Drosophila melanogaster: one gene and its partners. The protein of the gene in region 4 interacts with the protein of the main gene of each other region in a pairwise test. Each region holds a gene or a part of one and is shown on either strand. Other genes may lie near its edges. The genes, in order: CG4080, su(r), Cse1 and Dora.

Evidence for each region.
Region 1: the proteins of Dora (region 4) and CG4080 interact in a two-hybrid assay, tested with the Drosophila melanogaster proteins (one large-scale study listed by BioGRID).
Region 2: the proteins of Dora (region 4) and su(r) interact in a two-hybrid assay, tested with the Drosophila melanogaster proteins (one large-scale study listed by BioGRID).
Region 3: the proteins of Dora (region 4) and Cse1 interact in a two-hybrid assay, tested with the Drosophila melanogaster proteins (one large-scale study listed by BioGRID).

What each region holds. Positions count from the first base shown.
Region 1 is NT_037436.4:9,396,188-9,401,228, reverse strand, and holds the start of CG4080 (uncharacterized protein), read left to right. Parts: upstream 1-2,001; 5' UTR 2,002-2,642; coding exon 2,643-2,722; intron 2,723-5,041. Other genes in the region: eIF4E1 (eukaryotic translation initiation factor 4E1), read left to right, coding at 133-189, 276-646, 711-810, 1,045-1,132, 1,196-1,359.
Region 2 is NC_004354.4:9,196,268-9,203,736, reverse strand, and holds su(r) (suppressor of rudimentary), read left to right. Parts: upstream 1-1,916; 5' UTR 1,917-2,117; intron 2,118-3,540; 5' UTR 3,541-3,559; coding exon 3,560-3,604; intron 3,605-3,663; coding exon 3,664-6,468; intron 6,469-6,526; coding exon 6,527-6,684; intron 6,685-6,758; coding exon 6,759-6,846; 3' UTR 6,847-6,929; downstream 6,930-7,469.
Region 3 is NT_033779.5:16,820,633-16,827,183, reverse strand, and holds Cse1 (chromosome segregation 1), read left to right. Parts: upstream 1-1,976; 5' UTR 1,977-2,117; coding exon 2,118-2,202; intron 2,203-2,684; coding exon 2,685-3,544; intron 3,545-3,615; coding exon 3,616-4,099; intron 4,100-4,167; coding exon 4,168-4,470; intron 4,471-4,535; coding exon 4,536-4,692; intron 4,693-4,748; coding exon 4,749-5,049; intron 5,050-5,122; coding exon 5,123-5,860; 3' UTR 5,861-6,028; downstream 6,029-6,551. Other genes in the region: mdy (midway), read right to left, coding at 468-701, 762-1,034, 1,095-1,405, 1,462-1,605, 1,666-1,774, 6,254-6,306, 6,375-6,466, 6,525-6,551; CG13280 (uncharacterized protein), read left to right, coding at 6,178-6,241. UniProt on the Drosophila melanogaster protein: Export receptor for importin alpha. Mediates importin-alpha re-export from the nucleus to the cytoplasm after import substrates have been released into the nucleoplasm.
Region 4 is NC_004354.4:18,862,274-18,866,984, forward strand, and holds the start of Dora (dorado), read left to right. Parts: upstream 1-1,676; 5' UTR 1,677-3,166; coding exon 3,167-3,446; intron 3,447-4,711. Other genes in the region: CG7326 (uncharacterized protein), read right to left, coding at 1-1,409. UniProt on the Drosophila melanogaster protein: Substrate recognition component of a SCF-like E3 ubiquitin-protein ligase complex that promotes target-directed microRNA degradation (TDMD), a process that mediates degradation of microRNAs (miRNAs).

The DNA of each region.
Region 1 (5,041 bases), on a different chromosome or scaffold from region 4:
CTATCACAAACACCGCGACAGAGAGAGAGCGGCAAGTGAATCACGGCGAATCGAAACCGATCCGAACCCACTCCGGAGCCGAAAAAGAACTGATCCTACCATCAAACGCATCCAATAAACACGGCCGCCAACATGCAGAGCGACTTTCACAGAATGAAGAACTTTGCCAATCCCAAGTCCATGTTCAAAGTAATACTCTCAGTGCGCCTGTCGCTAAGCCAAGCTAATCTAATCTTCTGATTCCCCTTCCCATCCATTGCCATCTTCTCCCGCAGACCAGCGCCCCCAGCACCGAGCAGGGTCGTCCGGAACCACCAACTTCGGCTGCAGCGCCCGCCGAGGCTAAGGATGTCAAGCCCAAGGAGGACCCACAGGAGACTGGTGAACCAGCAGGCAACACTGCAACCACTACTGCTCCTGCCGGCGACGATGCTGTGCGCACCGAGCATTTATACAAACACCCGCTCATGAATGTCTGGACGCTGTGGTACCTTGAAAACGATCGGTCCAAGTCCTGGGAGGACATGCAAAACGAGATCACCAGCTTCGATACCGTCGAGGACTTCTGGAGCCTATACAACCACATCAAGCCCCCATCAGAGATCAAGCTGGGTAGTGACTACTCGCTATTCAAGAAGAACATTCGGTGGGTTTGCTGTTTATTGCAATTCTGCCAAGATAACCTTTACTAACTGATATCTCATTTGCAGTCCCATGTGGGAGGATGCAGCCAACAAACAGGGCGGTCGTTGGGTCATTACCCTTAACAAAAGCTCCAAGACCGATCTGGATAACCTATGGCTCGATGTGGTAAGTGCACAAAGAAACGAGTGGTGAGCGGATGGTCTATTTATAGTGAATGTACATTCTTGAAATGCAAAAATATAGAAATAGGTGTATGATTTTGCAATATAAATTATAACTTATAGAAAATATCAGCTAAAAATACGCTAGTGCTAGCTTTTGTCTTAGGAACATTCAATAGTGAGCTTATATCATAAATATTTTTCGCATATGAGTAACTACAACTGTTTTGCCTTCCAGCTGCTCTGCCTGATTGGTGAGGCCTTCGATCACTCTGATCAGATCTGCGGCGCTGTTATAAACATTCGCGGCAAGAGCAACAAGATATGTAAGTTTTCACGCACACCCAACTTCAGCGGAATTCCTTTGTTTAACGATTAATGCTTTCCAGCCATCTGGACTGCCGACGGAAACAACGAGGAAGCTGCCCTTGAGATTGGTCACAAGCTGCGCGATGCCCTGCGTCTGGGACGCAACAACTCGCTGCAGTATCAGTTGCACAAGGACACGATGGTCAAGCAGGGCTCCAACGTGAAATCGATCTACACTTTGTAGGCGGCTAATAACTGGCCGCTCCTTATTCGGTCCGATCCCACACTGATTATTTTGTCTTTCATTTATTTATCGTTATAAGCAACAGTAGCGATTAATCGTGACTATTGTCTAAGACCCGCGTAACGAAACCGAAACGGAACCCCCTTTGTTATCAAAAATCGGCATAATATAAAATCTATCCGCTTTTTGTAGTCACTGTCAATAATGGATTAGACGGAAAAGTATATTAATAAAAACCTACATTAAAACCGGATACTTTTGATCTTTGATTTTGGAGATATTTTAAAATAGAAAAAAGTTAACCTATATTGTTTTTGGGATAATTACTTGTTGTATTACTAAAACGAGCTTGTATCCTAATATGGGCACCTAAAGCAAAACTTCCAAATTTGGAATTCAATTTGTTGCTAAAAATACGTTAGCAATTTCTAGGGTGGCCAAAAAAAAATGTGTATCGATATATCGATAGGTTTCCTAAATAGACATTAAAATAATTTTAGCTTTTTACTTATATTGTTAGAGTAAATACGTTTGTATTTAAAAAATAAGTCAGTATTTTTTTTTTATTAACCTATTATTGAATTTTATATGAGTGAGAGCTTTTCCATTCAGCCAAGAACGGTCACACTGCATGTGACATGTTTCAATTGTGTAGGCGCAGTCACACTGGTCGCGTCGCTCGTAGATATCGTGTAAGGATATGTCTCCGTGTTTAGCTAAATAAAATACATAAAATATATGTGCAATTCTAACAAGCATAGCCATTTAGCGTAGAGTAGTGGAACGAACAGCTCGTACCGGGCCAGTAACAACAAATTAACAAGCAAACGCACTAAAGTTTGTCGCGGAATAAAGATATAATAATAGACCAGCTAACCAACACAAACAAACACACACACGGCCAGAAGTTCGTTGGCGTTGAAAGGGAAAAATGAAACGAAATGAAAGGAGAATAACAGTGCAATAGATTCGGTTTACATTGTGCAAAAAATCGAAGTAGCCCCTGCCAACAGGGTCGCTAAAAATAAAGAAGGCGACAGCCTCTGTTTATCGTTGGGAATAAACAAATATATGGCCAGCGGAGGAGAATCATAACAAAGGCGCAAGACTAGCCAGCATAAAAGACAAAGGAGCTCTCCTCCCCCGCGTCCGCCACCCCCCTCCCTTTTTGGGGTTGAAAACCCCCCACGCGTTGCGGTGCAGCATCGCCCCGACTATGCGATACCCTGCAATCGAGTTTATAGTGCTATAGAGAGAGAGAGAGAGAGCGAGTTACGAACAAAATGCCTTGCGACAACGCCAAAACCTCTTCGGATATCGAGCATGTGGATTGGAATTCCGGCCAGCACTATGCGAATGTCAGGTGAGTTTTGAATGCCCTTGATATGGCCAAAAAAAAAGGAATCCTATAAGTTATTCAAGTACACCAAAGAACAAAAAAAAAAGTAAAATAAAGAAAAACGAGAAATAAAATAAAATCAAGTGCAAGCACGCAATTGAAAAATCGTGGGATGGTTGACATTCTTCTTGGCATTGTCCATTGTTTATTTATAGCCAGGAAACGGACATGATTTAAATGTTTGATTGTTCGTCGTTTGGGAAATCACAATAATTAAGTTCTCAACGCAGGCTGCAAGTGCTAAAAATCAATGTGTGTTCTTTGCGCCACAATAAACAAATCCAGCTGTCCATACCGACACGCAGATAAGATATACCTTAATCGAAATGAAAACGAAAATAACCCAATTTCAAGCAGCGATTGATTCATTCCCTTAATTTGTTGCTCTGCACCAACATCAACTGTTGAGATCTCAATCGTCGTAATCCCCATCTAACGCCTGCTAATGACAATCATTAGGCAATAGTTAACAACATTGACTTGTACTTACTTACTTACCATACTAGTTCCATGCCGATCGGCAACTTCGATTGAAATGCAAATATGGACACTACGATGCTGGGAAGGTGACAAGATCTTGACGCGAGGCGCCAGCTGTTATCTGTTTATACAATTATAGGTTTATAAATTACGCGCGATTTATTTATATTGCAATCTGACGTGACAGCGGGGCATTGACCATACCCAATACTCTTACGACTTTTAATGAAGCCAATGAGGTCTAAAATGAAGATAAATCATAAATATAATTATATATCAGTCATTGAAGACGTTCTCCATAACTAAAGCAGTTTAATGGTACTGGCTTTTCGATTCACTTAATTCGTATTGTTTGGTATTAGTATTTGTGGCTACCAACTTTTATTTGCCTCATAGATGTTGTATCTTTATCTTTAGTTATTCATCAAATTTTCAATGGAACGCTCTTAAATAAACATATTTACTCAATTGTATTTGAATGTTGAGAAATGCGGCTCTTGCGTAGCTATAATTTATATATGTATGCTCGTATTTTGTGAAATACAGACCGTTCAACACCCCCGATGTCAGTGTGATGAGCCTTATCACCTGGCCATCGCAAATCTAATCTGTCGCCGGAGTGAGTAAATGTGTCTCACTTTGCTGTTATTTCAGGTGTCGTTGTTGAATAAACATTGGCTATTGTATCGGCTTGGGCCATCACGATCAAATATTTGTCGACTATCGTGAAAATGTAAAATGGAGCGTAGCGAAAAACAAACCATTGATAAGAAGCGAATTTTCTCAAGCTTGCATTTCGCATGGGTTTTCCCAAAACAATAGCAATGTGTATACACACACAAACATTCATACATTGCATATGTATGCAAATGTATATTTTTGGTGGCGCCAGTTGGGGGGGTATAACTTTTGCATTAATTGCCTCGAACTTAAACCAGTTGGGTTTTGGACTTTAAAATAAGTTTTACACGCAGAGAGCGCTAAAAAAAAAAAAAAAATAATGCGCAAATTATCAAAAAGCATTCGAACAAAGCAAACGAACAGGCAGCGAAAACAAAGCGCAAAACAGTTGAATTGGACCCCGCCTGACTCCGATTTCCCCCTTCCCCCCTCCACCACCCATCCATCCCTTGGAATCATCCGGTTCCTTGCGCCATGCGAAGATTACTTGTTTCATCTGGTCCGGCGGAGCTGGTGAGGGCGTGGCCCGTTCCGTTGTGTTCGGGCGTGGAATTTAATAAAATGCGCTAATTTAGTCGTAATTACAAGTGGGCACGGGTGGTAATGAAGCGCTCAAAAGACCCAAATCTTACGCAAATAACACGAAATGCCCCCGTAATGTGAATTTACCAAACGACCCTCGCATAATTAGGCGATTTAAGGGTAATATGCTATATAAACTTAGTTATCAGATCCAGAGAAATCAACAATTATATTCTTACTCATTTTCAGTAAGTGTTGAGCCAAAGTATAATTTTGTAATATTAATCTTGGCTTTCAGTTTGAAAACAGTTCCGCTTTCATAGTACATACATTCATATTCGACTCTCTGTTGATAAACAAATTTTCCCCTCTTTTATCAGCTAATTATAAACAACATTCATAACGATAGTTGAGCCGTTTATTTCTCAAGAAAAAAAAACGGCGATAAGAAACGAATATAAGTTCAAATTAGATTAACGAACGTAAATATTTGGTTACCGAAAAGTACACGATTCCGGGGAATTCGCAAATTTCCATCGGAAGCACTTTCGCAGTGGCAGCAACAAAAAGTGCCGTTAAACAAACAAAAAGCGCGATGAT
Region 2 (7,469 bases), 9.7 Mb from region 4:
AAATGCCTAAAGTAGTGATCAGTTTTGTGAAGAGCTACTGGGTATCCGGCCAATCGACCCCTGTTTTAGTGAACAATATATTGTAGTTGCGATGGGCGCCATCATCACTCTCCGATCTTCGGCCCTCTGAAGGAATTATACCAAAGTCTGGGATGCCACCCAAATGAGGAATGAGCGATGTGAAAATGGAACTCAGATGCTGTCCGCTCAAATTCTAATTCCTGCAAAAAGTGGCGAAAGTGAATAATGGAATCCGGCAGTCAACACGTTTCGCCCAGACGAAAAACGCATTTGAATTTCGGCATGCATTTTGTAAGTAATTTATTAACCCGCCTGCATTGTGTATTAATTAAGCGTTCTGATTTACTACGCACGGAGTGAGGTTAATCTCTGGCCCCCTGTAGTCCCGAGTTATTTATTTCACTTTAATGGGCAGCCAATGGAGGCTGGCAGGCGTTAGTGGCGCCTTTCCGGGGATTTCGACTAGAAAAGGCTACTGCAAACAACTCATTCATCTGGCCATTCAGCTAGAGATTATCCCAAGTTGATGGCCAATGTCACGGGCCAGTGCCAACTTGGAACTTGGCACTCAGAATGTCTGCGTTTTTATGGCCAATATGATTACAATTTAATGGCAGATAAATCAAGAAAAGCAAATGCTCATGGCCAAAAATAAATGCTAGGAGCACCGGAAACGTATTATATATTTTATAATAAGTTAGCAATCTAAAATGTCTGCAACATTTTAGAAAATAAGCTATTTGTATTCTTTATGTTAAACACAACACTTTAGAATGAGCATTTCAATTAAACGATTGCATACTTCTAGGCCAAGTTTATGTAAAAGCCGCGTTGATAAATAAATCCAAAAGGTAAACTGCCAAAATGCGAACTTCAATTTGATTTGATTTCAAAAATTATCCAAATGAAGCTTATAAATGTTTAGCTTTTAACAAATATGCTGGTATATTTATCAAAAATTTTATGAAAGAATAACGATATATATATAATACAAATCCTCTAAAATAGCATTCTTTTGGGCTGTGATTATATGAATGAACTGATGTAATGTGCTACAGCAAAATCTCCAAAGTGAAACTACCTGATATTCAACTAATTAATATTTATTTGCAAACTTCTATCATTCTGCAAAATGTAACATCTAATCATTCAGTAAATAATCTTTATCTGAACTAAGAAAACTGAAGAAATAATATTCATATTATTATATTTTTAGTACCATTGCAATTATTAAAGCATCTATTTGAAATTCTGTAGAAGTTCGCTCAACTGAATACTTACTGTAGTAAATTGTAAGGTTGATTCAATCGAAACTGAGAGCGAAGAGTGTACAAACAAAACTAAGGCGATCGAATAGCACACCCTGAAATACTTTATCTACACTAAGAAAAGTTCGAAAAGATACCATCTTAGAGATAAAATTGGGATAGTGATAAAATCAAATGGAAAATATAAAAAAATTTGATAAAAAATAAACCTCTTAGATACTTTTACGAGATTGAGTTTTAAATTCATAATATATAATCTTATGTAATAAATATATAAGATCTTATCTCGTTATGATTTGCGTGTTTTTCTCAGTGTTCAACAACGTTAACAACTAGACAACAATGTTTTTGCAAAGACATACCAGACGAGAACTATATATATATATATGGATTGTTTTGAGAAAATAATAAAGATATACTATTACTTACTAGCCCAGCAACTTAACTTCATATTGTTATCTCATTGCGACTCTAAAGCTATTGTGTGTAAAATCTGATAAAGACCCCCCCCCCCCCCCCCATTTGGGAGCTAGGCTACGCCCCTGTGAAATGGGAAGACCGACGTCGGCAGCGACGCCGACTGCGACGCAAAACCGAGTTAACGACGATTTGGAAATCGGTTTCCAAGAGCATTTTCAATTGGGCGTTTCCAGTGTGAAGACCAATTCGAATTTTTCGTGTTTTTTTTTTTAGTCGCCAAACCGTCGCCAGTCGATTTTCACTCCAGCTAGTGAATAGCTATTATTATTATTTTTTTTCGCTGTGCTAATCTAAAGATTCTAATAAAAAAAAGTGTTCATAAATTAGCTAATAACGTTCCTTCGATCGGTATGTATTGCGGCCACCAATCTTGGCTAAATGAGCAAAAAGAAAAAAAATTGAAAAAAACATCTAACAATCAAACGAAACGAAACCCAATTTAAGCATAAGCAGCAGCTCGAATTCTGAACTTGTTTTTCGCATTTCGCCATTAGCATATAGCATATACATATGTACCTACGTATAATGAAAACATATTCAAAAACTTGCCGGACCACGAAGCCAAACTGATAATGAACAAACAGCAGCTGGGGGCTTCAACTATTATGACAAAAACGAAAAAAACAAAATACATCTATAAAAATTCTTAATCAGCGCGCTAGAGTGTGCGCGAGAGCGAGAGGGCGCGCGGCGCCGAGGGAGATAGCGCGTGTTACAAAATATTAATTGAATTGAATTCGATTGAAGGTCTTGTAAAGCAAAGCTCCACGTTTGTGTGATTAAAATAGTTATGGCTATTCACAAAAAGCCAAGTAATTGGTAATGTGAGAATGGTTAATATGTAAAACAACTTTATTATCGTTTATAATTAGGCAATAGCTAACAGTCGGTTTACTTACCATTATTAATTCACTGTGCTAATAGATAATGAATAATGTTTACTTTGTATTAAGCACATGCTTAGAAGATACAGCTAAAGGCATACAAAACAACTTCCGCCGTCGATTTGCAACGGTGACAGTTTTTTTTTATTAAATGCGTATTACTTTACAAAGTTTCTGGCATTTGGTTCATAATATAATAATAATAATAATATTTAATAATATAATAATATTTGTGGCAATTCTCAAAGTTAAAAGGAAAAGCAACTGTAAATAGAATATGTATTTCGAAGTTAGTTTATTACTTCTTCTAAGCTGAGATACATTTAATAGATACATTTACGCCAGCTTGAGATACTTAACCTACTAGATACTTAAATGAAATCGAAAGCAGAACTTCCGAATCGAGTGCTTGCCCCATTATCGCTAAAAAAAAAAGAAGCGAAACGGGCCCCCCCGATCGTAACCTTCGCCGGTTTCTAATCTTTCCTCTTCGTGGGGTGGCACCATTTATTTTTGGGGTTCTGAAACTTTTGGTGGAAAAACAGCAGATACAGAAACGTATAGAAAACCGGGTGGTGCCAATATGCGTGCCATCATAAAGCCATCATAATCTCCGCTAGCCGTCGCAGCCTTGACTGATATGATGATAACGCCCTCATACATAAGATGATAAGACCAATGGTGTGGCATTAGTGCACTTAGATACAGCGTCTTGTCCAGGATCGATTTGGATTTCGAGTGGGGCAGCGATAAGACGACTGGGAGTCACCATTCGCGATTAGGGTATTCTGGCTGCGATGCGATAGGGATAGGGTAGTTCGCCGATCTGCACGTGGCCATCAACCGCAGTCTGTAATCCATATGTTCCACTTTCACTTCATTAACAGGTGAAACAGTGCCAGCAAGATGAGTCCGCCCCAACTTTTGAGCAAGGACTCCCCAGATATTGAGGTAGGTCCTGGATCATGATTCACTTCCCGTTGATAGTGAAAACCTTTCGTAATTCCTAGGACCTGCTGTCGCTAAATCCGCGAGTGAAGACGCAGTGCTCCGTGGTGCCCACCAAGCAGACGAAGGAGAACAAGAAGCACTGGAAACGCAATGCGGATCACGCTGCTCCGCCGTGCACCACGCTGGCCAACGACTTCTCGGACATCAAGCACACCACATTGTCGGAGCGCGGAGCTCTAGAGGAGGCGGCCAGGTGCCTCAAATGCGCCGATGCTCCGTGCCAAAAGTCCTGTCCCACGCAGCTGGACATCAAGAGCTTCATTACGAGCATTGCGAATAAGAATTTCTATGGCGCCGCCAAGGCGATCTTCTCCGACAATCCGCTGGGTCTGACCTGCGGCATGGTCTGTCCCACCAGCGATCTCTGCGTGGGCGGTTGCAATCTGCAGGCCTCCGAGGCGGGACCGATTAACATTGGTGGCCTCCAGCAGTTCGCCACCGAGGTGTTCAAGAAGATGGGCGTGCGGCAGCGGAGGACACCGCAGGCGGAGGCCAATCCGCTGTCGCAAAAGATCGCCCTCGTGGGCGGCGGACCGGCATCGCTGTCGTGCGCCACCTTCCTGGCCCGTCTGGGCTATCGGGATGTGACCATCTACGAGCGGAGAAGCTATCTGGGTGGCCTGAGTGCCGCTGAAATTCCCCAGTATCGTCTGCCCATCGATGCGGTTAACTTTGAGATCGATTTGGTTCGCGATCTGGGCGTACGCATCGAAACGGGTCGCTCGCTGGGCACCAAGGATTTGACCATCCAGGGACTCCTGTCCACCGGCCATGATGCCGTCTTTGTGGGCATTGGCCTGCCGGAACCGAAGCTGAATCCCATTTTCGCTGGCCTTCAGCCCAGCAATGGTTTCTACACCTCGAAAAACTTCCTGCCCTTGGTGTCGGATGGCTCGAAACCGGGTTTGTGCGCCTGCAAGGCAGCGGCCGGTTTACCCAAGCTCCATGGCAATGTCATCGTTTTGGGTGCCGGTGATACGGCCTTCGATTGCGCCACTTCGGCGCTGAGATGTGGTGCTAGGCGTGTGTTCGTCGTCTTCCGCAAAGGATCCTCCGGCATTCGTGCTGTGCCCGAAGAGGTGGAGCTGGCGCGTGACGAACGCTGTGAGCTGTTGCCGTACCTGAGTCCACGCAAAGTGATCGTCAAGGATGGCCTGATCACAGCCATGGAATTCTGTCGCACGGAGCAGAACGAAAACGATGAATGGGTGGAGGATGAGGAGCAGACGCAGCGCTTGAAGGCGAACTTTGTGATCTCCGCCTTTGGGTCCGGCCTGGAGGATCAGGATGTCAAGGCGGCACTAGCGCCGTTGCAATTCCGCGGCGAATTGCCCGTGGTGGACAGGGTGACGATGCAGAGCAGTGTGAAACAGGTGTTCCTCGGCGGCGATCTCGCTGGAGTGGCCAACACCACGGTGGAGTCGGTCAATGATGGCAAGGTGGCCGCCTGGAGCATTCATTGTCAACTGCAGGGCCTGCCACTGGACACGCCGGCTGCACTGCCGCTCTTCTATACGGACATCGATGCCGTGGACATATCGGTGGAGATGTGCGGCATCCGGTTCGAGAATCCCTTTGGCCTGGCCTCCGCACCGCCCACCACCAGCACGGCCATGATACGTCGCGCCTTCGAGCAGGGCTGGGGCTTTGTGGTGACCAAGACGTTCGGTCTGGACAAGGATCTGGTCACGAATGTCTCGCCGCGCATCGTCAGGGGCACCACGTCGGGCTACAAGTATGGACCGCAGCAGGGCTGTTTCCTGAACATCGAACTAATCTCGGAGAAGCGGGCCGAGTACTGGCTGAAATCGATTGGAGAACTGAAGCGTGACTTCCCCGAGAAGATCGTGATAGCCAGCATTATGTGCAGCTTCAACGAGGAAGACTGGACGGAGTTGGCCATTAAGGCGGAGCAGTCGGGTGCCGATGCCCTCGAGCTGAATCTATCGTGTCCACATGGCATGGGCGAGCGAGGTATGGGCTTGGCCTGTGGCCAGGATCCCGAGTTGGTGGAGCAGATCTCTCGCTGGGTGCGAAAGGCGGTCAAGCTGCCCTTCTTCATCAAGCTAACGCCAAACATTACGGATATCGTTTCCATTGCGGCGGCCGCAAAGCGGGGAGGAGCCGATGGCGGATCGGCCATCAACACCGTTCAGGGACTGATGGGCCTCAAGGCGGACTCCACCGCCTGGCCGGCGATTGGCAAGGAGCAGCGCACCACTTACGGCGGCGTCTCCGGCAATGCCACTCGTCCGATGGCTCTGAAGGCCATCTCTGATATTGCCAACCGTGTGCCGGGATTCCCCATTCTCGGTATCGGTGGCATCGATTCCGGTGAGGTTGCGCTGCAGTTTATTCATGCGGGCGCCACTGTTCTGCAGATCTGCTCCTCCGTACAGAACCAGGACTTCACCGTCATCGAGGACTATTGCACGGCACTGAAGGCACTGCTCTACCTGAAGGCGAATCCGCCACCAGTCGATGGTCCCTTCTGGGATGGCCAGTCACCACCCACGCCGGTCCATCAGAAGGGCAAGCCCGTTGTCCGTTTGACCGGCGAGGGCAAAGCCACGCTGGGTTTCTTTGGTCCCTACCAGCGGCAGCGCGACATCAAGATGGCCGAGCTGCGAAGTCAGAAGGGAGCTCTTTGGGATGCCGAGCAGGTGAAGGCCACTCCTCCGGCGTCCAATGGAGCACCCAATCCGGCACCAAGAATCAAGGATGTGATCGGAGCAGCGCTAGACAAGATCGGGTCATACAACAAGCTGGATAACAAACAACAGAAGGTGGCGCTCATCGATGATGTGAGTGCTGAGTTATCATTAAAGTATCCAAATTTCTAATTGCATCCGTGCTTTCCAGGACATGTGCATAAACTGCGGAAAGTGCTATATGACCTGCGCCGATTCCGGCTACCAGGCCATCGAATTCGACAAGGACACCCACATTCCGCACGTGAACGACGATTGCACGGGCTGCACACTCTGCGTCTCCGTTTGTCCCATCATCGACTGCATCACGTGGGTTCCTCAATGTCACCAGCATCATATATATACTGGTTAACTAACTATATTATGTATTTATATATTTCCAGCATGGTGCCCAAGAAGATTCCGCACGTGATCAAGCGAGGAGTCGAGGAGAAGATCTTCTACACCCACGCTCTCAGCCAGTGCCAGTAAAAGTCCCTAGTTCTACGCGAAATACCGATAGTAAATTCCAATCTATGTAATTCAATTAAATACAAAACATGTTTCAAAAGCAGAAGATGGCATTCAGTTTTATTTGCTTAAAAATACGAAAGTAGGAAAAATAACTTTAAAAAAATTACTATGTTTATTATATCACTGATGACCAATCCACTTATTTTATAATCATTTTGATTTGAAATTCGTATTTGAAATTGGCGCGCAACTCAAGCTTTTCCCAACTTTATCGATGTCTATCAGCTGATTTTGGAGACCAATTTTTTAGCAAAAAAAAACAAAAATTCTATTAATATATATTGTCTGCGAAATTAACGAACAGTTAAGCTCAAGTAGCAACAACGAAATTTACTTTAATGTTTTGAAATATATATAACATTAATTATTTACCATATTACTTTTCTCATCCCTAATATAGGCGATACTATCGAATGGGATCAGCTGTTTGTCGATATTGAAAATTTTAGTTTAGAAAAACAGAAAAACGGAACGACGTAGGAATCCAGTAGCAGCTGTGCGTCAAAAAAAACTAGTCGTCTCTACTTTCAAATAGGCAATAGATTTAATCTGAAAACAAAATTCAACGTAAAATTCTAAAG
Region 3 (6,551 bases), on a different chromosome or scaffold from region 4:
AAATATTACTTATATTAAGCTCACATATGATCGACAAATGTTACTTGAAATATAGGAAAAAAAATTGTCTGTTTTGGCTTGGGCAGCGATGAAGTGTGACCATATGCCGCATAAACAATCGATAGATCGTGTATTCTAGGGAAGGAACTATCGAACAAAGAGCTTAATAATTACATTTTTTTCGTTTCATATAATTTAAAAATTAAAAACATTTTATTTAGTTTAAAATTTGATTTATTTACATGACACTTAAATTCATTAACAAATGCATTCAATAACAATCTATTTGTGTTAATCAGTACTACATGCATGTGCAAAAGTCATACAAAATATGCTTTGTAAATTGGCAATCACAAGTTTCCTTCTTAACTTGCATTCTGGCTTATAAATTACGAAAAGTACACGGACCCGACCGATGCAGATATTTCAGTGTTGCTCCATTTTTAAATGTTAACCTTTTTTGAAACCTAACTACTGTAGTCGGTGCCGTTGAGCGAGTTTTTGAAATGCTGGACGACATAATCGTGATAATAGGCCATTATGCACAGAGGCTGACCAAGAATAATGGAAGCCCACACGATTATATTGCCCATTCGGGGACCCAGTTTCTTTTCAATGGATTTGGATATGGCCGATAGGGGAATCTGACCCATCATGCCCATAAATGCCCAGATCTTGTATATTTGCAAAGGAACTGAAACCTGAAAATATAAATTATATTATTGTACAAAATTTGAAATTCTAAATATCAACCCTCATACCAAATATTCATGGAAGACGGCACTGAAAAGAAAGACAATAGTAGAGGCCTGTCTTGAGGAATATCCCATTTGGACCACAGGGATGTAGAGATGACGCACGCACCACCTATGAACTGGCATGTTCCATGTACGCCAGAAGGTGTCAATGTTATTCGCATTCCACCAATCACAATAAAAATTGCGATCTGCAAAATTCAGCAGTTCGCCGACCGCATTAAGAAAAGAGTGGAACATTAGATAGAAAAAGCAGAGCCAGCAAAGATGATTGGGTAGCTAATTAAAGAAAAATTATTAAATAATACTCAAACGTTTTATAATTTTCACTCTACCAACCGCAAGTTTAAGAAGTCGCTCAGTGGCTAAGGCCACGTCCATATTGGAGAACGGAATCAGGGAGTTCCGAACCGATGGAATGATCCATTGTTGAAACAAGGCCATAACCACATTCACTCCAATCACCACCTCCAATAAACGCTTCAGCAAAAAGCGTTTGCGCACGCGAGAAGTTCGCGGGAAATTCAACTCATAGCAGAGAGTGGGCGCGCAAAGGAAGTACAGGAGATCCTTGTATGTGAGATTATCAGGATATTGCACCAGCTTGGAAACGTCCTCGTCTTCTTCACCTCCATTCAAAACTCCTTTTTCTGGATGAAAGATGAATTTTTAATATATGACATTCCGTTGAGAGATCTCAACATACTTAGTTCCGCCAAAGTTATGCTTGGTCGACGCTCCCGCGGATTCTTTTGATAATAAGTCTGACGGCACCACATATTCGTCTGCACATAGGACCATAGTTTTAGGAACAACACAGAGTAAAAGAAGCAAACTGTTGAAGCGCCCACTAAAGATTAACAGATAATTAAATATTTTAAAATACACCTAAACTAAGTTAATTTCTCACTCAAACTAAAAGCATGTCCTTTTAGGTGAATTGTTACCACCGGTAGGCAAACCAAGACAACAATGTTCACTATCTGGATGAACAAGCCCAAGCCCTCTGCAATTATTTCCTGGAAAAGAATTACAAATTTGTTTTAATTTTTAATTCATTCAGTTGGTTTTTGAAAAAAAAAAACAGGAATTGATATCATATCAAATGATACTAAATTAGTAAAGTTCAATATGCGATATTTCTGATATGAACATTTAAAATCTAAAACCATCGAATCCTAGTAACAGTAACTATAAACAATCGATATCGAAAACTCGCCCTGAGTTCCATCCCCAGATCGGCGAGCATTGTGTGCGAAAACGAATTGCGATTTCATTTCATGTTGCAAGAGTGTGGAGGAACAAGCCACGAGTGATATAAATTAAAGCAAATAGGACCATCGAAAAGAAAATATACTCAAAATGGAAGTGACAGAGGCAAATTTACAGCTGCTGGCCGGTTATTTGCAGCAGACGCTGAGCGCCGATCCCAATGTCCGCCGGCCGGGTGAGTGTGTGTGTGTAGGAATGCATGTGCACACACACAACTGCACATGCGTGCAGGGGTGCTGATGTGTATGTGCGCGGGAAATGGTTTTTGGCGACGCCAAAGAAAAATACGGTTTTTAAATCCATTTGAAGTTGTCTACAAGTTTTCCCTATGTCAAAGAATTTATACAGTCACGCTTTCTATTAATTGAATCGAGATTAGCTGATCTTGATATGACTGTTGCCAAGCCACCTTTCAAAACCATAGACCTAGTTTTAGGATTATTTAAGGCATACCAAGCCTATAGACTCCGCACCACCATAACCAAGCTTTTGAAAATATTGTATAAAAAACTTATTGCTTGAATTGAAAATATGTTTAGTCTAACGAGAAACACTGTAAGCTCCTATCGGTTCCTTATATATTTGTATTTGCAACATCCGATTTACATAAGTACAATAGTTCTAACAAACACACCATTTCCTTCTCTACTTTTATAGCCGAAAAACTTTTGGAGTCCACGGAACTACAGCAGAATTACCCGATCCTACTGCTCAATCTGATAGACAAAGCCCAAATGGACATGACTACGCGGGTGGCGGGAGCCATTGCCTTTAAGAACTATATTAAGCGGAATTGGGCAGCCCACCTTGACAGCGACGGACCGGATCGCATCCACGAAAGTGACAGGAATACAATTAAGACCTTGATCGTTACGCTAATGCTCCACTCACCGGTGGCATTGCAAAAACAACTAAGCGACGCGGTCAGCATCATAGGCAAATATGATTTTCCCAAAAAATGGCCGCAGCTTATCGACGAGATGGTGGAGAGATTTGCCTCTGGTGATTTCAATGTCATCAACGGCGTTTTGCAAACCGCACACTCGCTTTTCAAGCGCTATCGTTATGAGTTCAAGTCGCAGGCTTTGTGGGAGGAGATCAAATTTGTACTGGATCGTATGGCTAAACCTCTGACAGACCTGCTCCAGGCCACAATGCAGTTGACTAAGGTGCACGAGAACAATGCCGGCGCCCTGAAGGTCATCTACGGTTCATTGGTCCTTGTGAACAAGGTGTTTTTCTCGCTCAACTCCCAAGATTTGCCGGAGTTCTTTGAGGACAATATCAATACGTGGATGGGAGCGTTTATTCAGCAACTAGCTGCGGATGTGCCATCCCTGCGTACTGCAGATGATGAGGATGCGGGTGTTCTAGAGCATCTGCGTGCTCAAGTCTGCGAGAACATTTGCCTTTATGCAAAAAAGTACGACGAGGAGTTCAAGCCATTTATGGAGCAATTTGTGACTGCAGTTTGGGAGTTACTGGTCAAGACAAGTTTGCACACCAAGTACGATTCGGTAAGTAACAGAAACCATACGCTTTCTTAATAATTATTTTTATAATTTTTCCATTCTTATTTTGCGCACAGTTGGTCTCCCATGCTCTGCAGTTCCTCTCTGTGGTGGCTGACCGCCAGCATTATCAGAGCATTTTCGAGAACCCAGAGATTCTTGCTCAGATCTGCGATAAAGTTGTCATTCCCAATCTAGACATCCGGCCCTCAGATGAAGAAATTTTCGAGGACAGTCCGGAGGAGTACATTCGAAGGGATATTGAAGGCTCTGACATTGACACACGACGTCGGGCGGCATGTGATCTGGTGAAGACTCTATCAATCAACTTTGAACAAAAGATCTTTGGCATTTTTGGCCAGTATCTAGAGAGATTGTTGACCAAGTACAAGGAGAATCCGGCTACCAATTGGAGGTCAAAGGATACGGCAATTTATTTGGTTACTTCGTGGGCATCTCGAGGAGGAACTCAAAAGCATGGCATCACACAGACCTCGGAGTTGGTTCCACTTCCCGAATTTTGTGCCCAGCAAATTATTCCAGAACTGGAAAGACCCAACAGTAAGCCCAAATAACCATTTTCCCAATTCGATCATCTTATATCTGCATTCTTCCAATGCTCTTTGCAGTTAACGAGTTTCCTGTTCTTAAGGCTGCTGCAATTAAGTATGTAATGGTGTTCCGCAGCATTTTGGGTCCCCAAGTCTTAGCAAGCTGCCTGCCCCAGCTAATTCGACATCTCCCCGCCGAAAGCTCTGTTGTTCATAGCTATGCTGCTTGTTCAGTGGAGAAGATCCTTTCTATGCGGGATGCTAGCAACGCGATCGTTTTTGGTCCTCAGATTTTAGCACCTTACACAACTGAACTAATTAGTGGGTTATTTGCGACCCTTTCACTCCCAGGTTCCGGTGAAAATGAGTACGTAATGAAAGGTGAGTTTGGGGGACTATCTCATACGTTTCTAATATGTTAACAAAACTCTAATTATTATTATTAGCCATTATGCGAAGTTTTTCGGTCTTGCAATCGGCCGCCATGCCCTTTATGGGCGTCGCCCTTCCACGGCTTACCGAGATTCTCACCCAAGTGGCCAAGAATCCATCGCGTCCGCAGTTCAACCACTATCTTTTTGAAACGCTGGCTCTGTGTATAAAGTAAGTGTTATGCATTTTGGTGGTAAAGAGCAATAACAAATTTTCTTTTTCCCTAGAATTGTTTGTCACGCCGATTCCTCGGCTGTGAGCTCCTTTGAGGAGGCATTGTTCCCAGTTTTCCAGGGCATCTTACAGCAGGACATTGTCGAATTTATGCCCTACGTCTTCCAGATGCTTTCTGTGCTGTTGGAAATGCGCGAGGGCACTGGTACCATACCGGAACCCTATTGGGCTTTGTTCCCCTGCTTGTTGTCACCAGCTCTGTGGGACAGGACGGGCAATGTCACACCATTAATTCGCCTGATTTCTGCTTTCATCAAGCAGGGATCTGCTCAGATTCAAGCCTTGGGTAAACTGGTAAGTTATATTATACATCACAAATTTTATTTTACAGAGTCCAATCTTATGCATTTTTCAACATATATTTCAGAGCGGTATCCTCGGAATATTCCAAAAGATGATTGCCTCCAAGGCTAATGACCATGAAGGGTTTTATCTTCTCCAGAATCTGCTTTCCTACTACCCTCCCGCTGAGATTCAAACTAATCTTCGTCAGATCTTTGGCCTGCTCTTCCAGCGATTGTCTCTCTCAAAGACTCCGAAGTATTTAAGCGGCATCATTATCTTCTTTAGCTTTTATGTGATTAAGTTCAGTGGCAGTCAGATGGCTCAATTGATAGATGAGATTCAGCCTAACCTATTTGGCATGCTGCTGGACCGCGTGTTTATCACCGAAATGGGCAAGATTCCCAAGGAACAGGATCGCAAAATGGTGGCCGTGGGTGTCACTAAGCTACTTACAGAAACTCCTGAGATATTGCAGCAACAGTACGCTACTTTCTGGCCACGACTGCTGCATTCTCTAATCGATCTTTTTGAACGACCACCAGAGAAATTGATGGGTCTCGAAATAGGAGAGACAGCTGGAGTTGCCGAAGATCCCGATGCGGGCTATCAAGTGGCATTTGCCCAACTGACTCATGCCCAGCCCAACCAGCAGGATCACCTGGCTGAGATTAAGGATGCTCGCCAGTTTCTAGCAACTTCGCTCTCTAAGTTTGCCCAGGCTAGGGCAGGAGAATTTTCCACTTTGTTGTCGCCCCTGGAGCCGGAGTACAAGCAAGTACTCCAGAAATATTGTGATCAGGCTGGAGTACGCATTGCCTAAAGGAATCGACCGACTTTAAGCTCATTCATCGCAATCAAACCTCGCCATACATTCGAAAATTTATGCATACACGCACTCGATCACTCATTGCATGCCCAGTTTATTGTCATTTAAAAATTGTATCTAATATATGTAAGTTTTGTAAACAATTAAAAATTATGTTTTCCGAAACTAGTGTGTTTCAACTGCGATAACTTCTGAATATTTCATACTTTTCTCTCTGATAAACAAATCATTTCTTGTCAAACACCCTTCACTCAATTTCAAAATTGTGAATTTAGAATTAACTAGATATTTCGAAATTTATCATATAAGCCATGTTCAAGCTAATAACGTATTTCAAGTCACGATCGAAGAAAATAGGCGTGAGATGCTATCAAAGTAAGTACTTACCATGGCTAGACCCTTCTCCACAGCCAAACAGAGCGAGATATGCACTAAAGAGTCTGTAAAATATGGTGAGACGAAGGTTATCAATTTCGTTTGCGTAATCCTTGATTTTGTGCGTGCTTACAAATGCTCAGGATTAGGGCGTTATGTCCTTCGCCTTCGTTGTGTCCGCTTATGAAGAAGAACCAATCCAGTGGATTGATGCGAATGCCATACCTAAAAAAATAATGAATTAGCTAAAACTTGTATTTCTACTCAAGATCATCGTAGTTACTTTAGGAGATTCTCCAAGCCCAAACGC
Region 4 (4,711 bases):
AAAGACCGCGGCGGAGTGGGGCTGCGTTTCTGCAGGGTACGCATGCCGAGCGAGTAAGCCGCCGTGTCCCCCGAAGCGGTGTCCGTATCCGAGTACTCGTCATCGCTCTCGCTGGCATGTCCTGCATCCGTCTCGTACGGATCCACCTCCTTCTGATACACGTTGCTCATTTGATCCGTAAACACATCCGAAGCGACGACCCCGCCGTCGTGTTGATCCTCGTTCTCATAAAAGAAGTACGACAACTGCAGGTGCTCCTCCGCACAGTTCGTGCTCAAGGCGTCCGGAATCAAGTGGCCATTCGTCTCGAGGCGCTTCTGAATCTTTAGGAACATGTTCGGTGATACATCCATTTGGGGCAGCGTCTGCTGCGCCTGCCACTTCTCCAGCAGCGGCGGATTGGCTCCAAAAACGCCGTAGTACAGCTTGCAGGCGCGAAAGCAGCGTAGTCGGTTCGAATTTGGGCGAATGCGACGCAGCACACGCAGCTGTGACTCCACCACGTGCAAAAACATGTATTGCTGATTTCGGTTGGGCAGCGAGGTGACCAGCACCGCACGACTGGTGTTCAAACAGAGCTGAGGCAACGGTTGAGGCCACAGCGAGTGCAGCAGACGCTTGAAAAGCTGCGTTAGCGTGGAGTTTTGGAAGAAGTGGCGATCGGGGGCATTTGTCGCCGCTCCTGCGGGACGCCAACGTACTGCATCAGCCCAGATGCGAGCGGCGGCGCCATCGAACATGGTCAGCCCCAAATAACGCATGCAGCGCTGGCAGTACAAGTGATCGTCGCGATTGAGCATGCACGAACTTTCTTCGTTAAAGTTGATGACCACATAGTTGAGGCCATAGAAAAGATCCGTTTCGGCGGGCACTAAGCTAATTGGTTGGGTCTTGCCCGCTGGTCCATGATTGTGGCAAAAGAACTCAGTGGGATCCACCAAGAGGCTGGGAAACTCCCTCAACCTGCGATAGCTTCGGCCTGCCACCAATTCCGCTCGGCAATCACGACAGTTGATAGTGATGGGCTCGTTCTCCTGGCAGGAGAGGAGTAGTGGCGCCAGAGGCACGTCCACAGCGCTTCCATCCACGCTGGCCAGATCAATCTGGTTGTAGTTGAAGCGGAAACTGATGTTCCTGCCACTGACCAAGAACGTGGACAGGCAGACAATGTCCATACCATACTGCGCGTGCCGGATGAGCATCAGCTTGTCGGAGTCCTCGCTGTCGCTTTCGGAGCTGGAATCCAAGTCGATTGCCTGATTCTTAGGTTTCTCGCTGATATAAACATTGTAGTCGCGGACGACGACGCGAGTCTTCTGGCTCTGCGAAACCTGTTGGTCGAATCGCAGGAAGACCACGCCGCTGCGTAGGTTCGGGCGCAGTTCGATGCACAGCCCGGCGATGGGCATCTTGACCAGTTCCTGGGAAAGCGCGAGAAGATTGTGAACACCACCAACAAAATGGGCCTATCGTTACTTATGGTTTTTCGATATTAAGAGCGTCACTCGACAAAAACTATCGATTGTCAAGAATGAATGTCAGTGTGACCGTCATTTGAAAACTGGGAAATCGTACGCGGAAAACCGATACTATTGACCTTATCGAATATTCAGCCGAAAATGATCGAAAACCCATATCGAGTGTGTGAGCACTATCGCTGACCACTAACACCAACAACGTTTAGGAGCAAAAGAGTCGACGATGCGATGGGTAAAAACAAAGCCCCGTGTAAAAGTGTCCGAAAACCGTGCGTAGCATCAAACAAATCGTAACTCGGCCAGCGAATCTAGGTGCCGTTGTTTTCGGGGACGCGTGTGCAGTGCCGTTTTAAGTGTCGGTAATCGCCAAAATCCACAAAAAATTTAAGGATTTTTTAAAAAAACGTTCGCTAAACGCATTTCGTTCGTTCACTCACACACACACGTAAACCTAACACACGCACAGACGCAGACAAACACAACGCGCAGCGCATATACACACACAAAGAAAAGAAGGCAGTGAAAATCGACAAGCGCACGCATGCACACACACACTGACAAGCACGCAGGCGAAAAAGTGTTGATATATATCCAATATATTGATGTTGTGTGCAACGTTGTTGTTGCTGCTGCTACTGCTGTGTGAGTGAGTGAGGGCGAGCGAGAAAGAGTGAGTGCGGTGCGCGCAGGATAAAGCGAAGATGAGCCACAAAGCGAAGGAGTGAAAAAATAATTAACGGCAAAGCGGACTGCAAAGCGCAGAGCGGATAAAAGAGGAGCGTTAACAACAATAACAACGACTGGGGGTCCCCTGCAAAATCAACAACAACAGCAAGAACCACATCAACAATAATAACAGAAGCAAGAACATCAACAACAAGAACTACAACTACAAATTGGCCCTCTTATTTCGGCAGTCGCATAGCATAGCCCCATCTCGCTCTCTCGTTCGTTGGGGGATACGAAAAAGTTCACATGCAACAACAACGACAACAAACAATAGCAGTCGCAGTCGACGCGGGCAGAGGCAGCGACAGAGACCGCGGCGCACTGAACGTATTTTGTACATATAAACAAAAATAGTTTTTAAACTCCCCAAAATCTAAATCTAAACCTAAAGTTAAGTCTAAAAGGGAAACTTAGAGCCCTAAGCATAAATCTACAGTTAATAAGTTAATTAAAAGCAAGCGAGTCCGGCAGTGTGCTTGAGTTTGAAAGGGGAGAACCGAAGGAGAGGAACACAGCGAGAGAGAAAAGAGGAAGAGAAGAACGCTCAAGAGAAATTCGCCTTTTACACGATTTTAAATTGAGCGTTTGGCAGAGATCCATTATACATATACATCCATCCAAAAAGAGAGGAGAGTAACAGTGAGAGAGACGGAGGAAGAGGAAGCTGAGGAAAACAAACAAACGGGGGAGCAGCTGAAGAAGAAGAACAAGAATCAGCTTCAGCAGTAGAAGGAGCAACTGTAAACACACACAATCTCAGCCTCACGCTGGCGAATCGCAACGGCGGCAACAACAACAGAGGAGGAGGAGGCGGCGGTAACAACAACAACAATGGAGGAGGCGGAGGAGCGGCTGCAGTCGGCGCTGGCGCCGAAGGAGCAGCAGGAGGCGGCGCAGGAGCCGGAGCGGCGGGCAGAGACGCTGCAGGAGCAGCGGCCAACGAATGGAATCCGGAGGAAATGGACCGCTTCAGCTTCGACGACTCCATCCGCTTCGAGGAAGACTCCCTCTGCAGCTGGAGCTCTGAACCGGAATCGCTGTGCAACAACTGGCGCGGCTGGAAGAAGCCCGCTGCAGGCAGCGGCGCAGGCAATGGCGGCTTGAGCGGCATGGGCGGTATGGCTGTGGCCGGCGGCTCAGGAGCACCGCCGTTCGGAGGAGCAGGAGCCTCTGGTTCCTGCACACCGGGCGGCAATGGAACGGCCATGGCCAACACATCCACCTGCGGCAGACATTATGGTGAGTAGCATCTCCTTGTTGCTAGGGCGGGATTTAGGGCAGTGTACCCGGACCATTGAGCATTACACCAGTGAAACTACAGTTGTGAAAATCACAGATACAAATCTAAACTGAAGAGAGCTTCTTAAAATCCGAAAAACATTGTACAACATTGACAGTTTTTAGAGTTCGAAAAGTGTGCGTCCTAAAGATATCAAAAAAGTATCCTCTTTTATTCAGGAATTAAGAAAGACTTTCTCATAAGAAGCTTTCATATGTCGCATACAAAAGATATTGACTTCCTTAATTGTTTTTAAAACCATAAGGCAACCAAAATAGTTTATACCTATAACTTTCCCTTTACAATGAGAAACTTACATGTACATTTTATACAGATTTATATCCGTATAGCGTTAAATAATCAATTACTTGCTACACAATTTACTTTTTAAGCTAAGTAGAGTGATATGCTTTAGTTCTATGTTTTACTAGCTTGGTCGCATTTGGCTATTTGCAATATGGCTACACTGTGCTGCCTGTAATTATACGCATGACCTTTTCGCTTTTGGTAAATTCTGTAAAATTGACTTAGGCACAACAACGAGCAGGCTGTAATTGTTGTTGCCCTCTGTCTGCAATTGTCTTCTTCGTTTCCCCGCATTTCCTCGAAGTCCTCTGCTTATCGCTGAAGTCAAAATCACGACTTTGGCTGCCAACGTTTTTTATTTTCATTCGTTTATACGAGTTTCCTTTTTACCTTTTTGTTGCGTCCCTTTGTCTTTCCCTGTGGCTCATTACGCTTGTGCATGTGGCTGGGGTATTGTTTTTTTTTTTTGTTTCGGGCCTGCCAAGAGACGTTCCTTACACGTTTTCTGTATCCTGTGCGCCGCCGCACAGCACTATCATCATGTAATATCTGGATATCTGGCTGCGACTGCGCAGTTCGTCCTCGTCGCTGTTTCTCTTTCGTATCCTCCATTCGTCTTCGTCATTTGCCCATCCACTGCATTCGTTTGCTTATTTTCCTTTGTTTGACTGAGCAGTGTTGCTGTGGGGGGAAACAGGACTATATTTGGAAGGGTCAAAGGACTAAACAGAGCGGCAAAGCCGCCAAAGAACCTCCAACCATTCAGTTGTCTTCTTTGTGGATTCTTTGATAGCCAGGGTTACCAGCTTGTTGATTTTATTGATATTTATTGATACTAAGCACTAGTATTACAAAATATAGTATATGTACTAGGCAAAACTAGCTGAACTTTGCTCAATCTTAATCATTTTTATCTTTC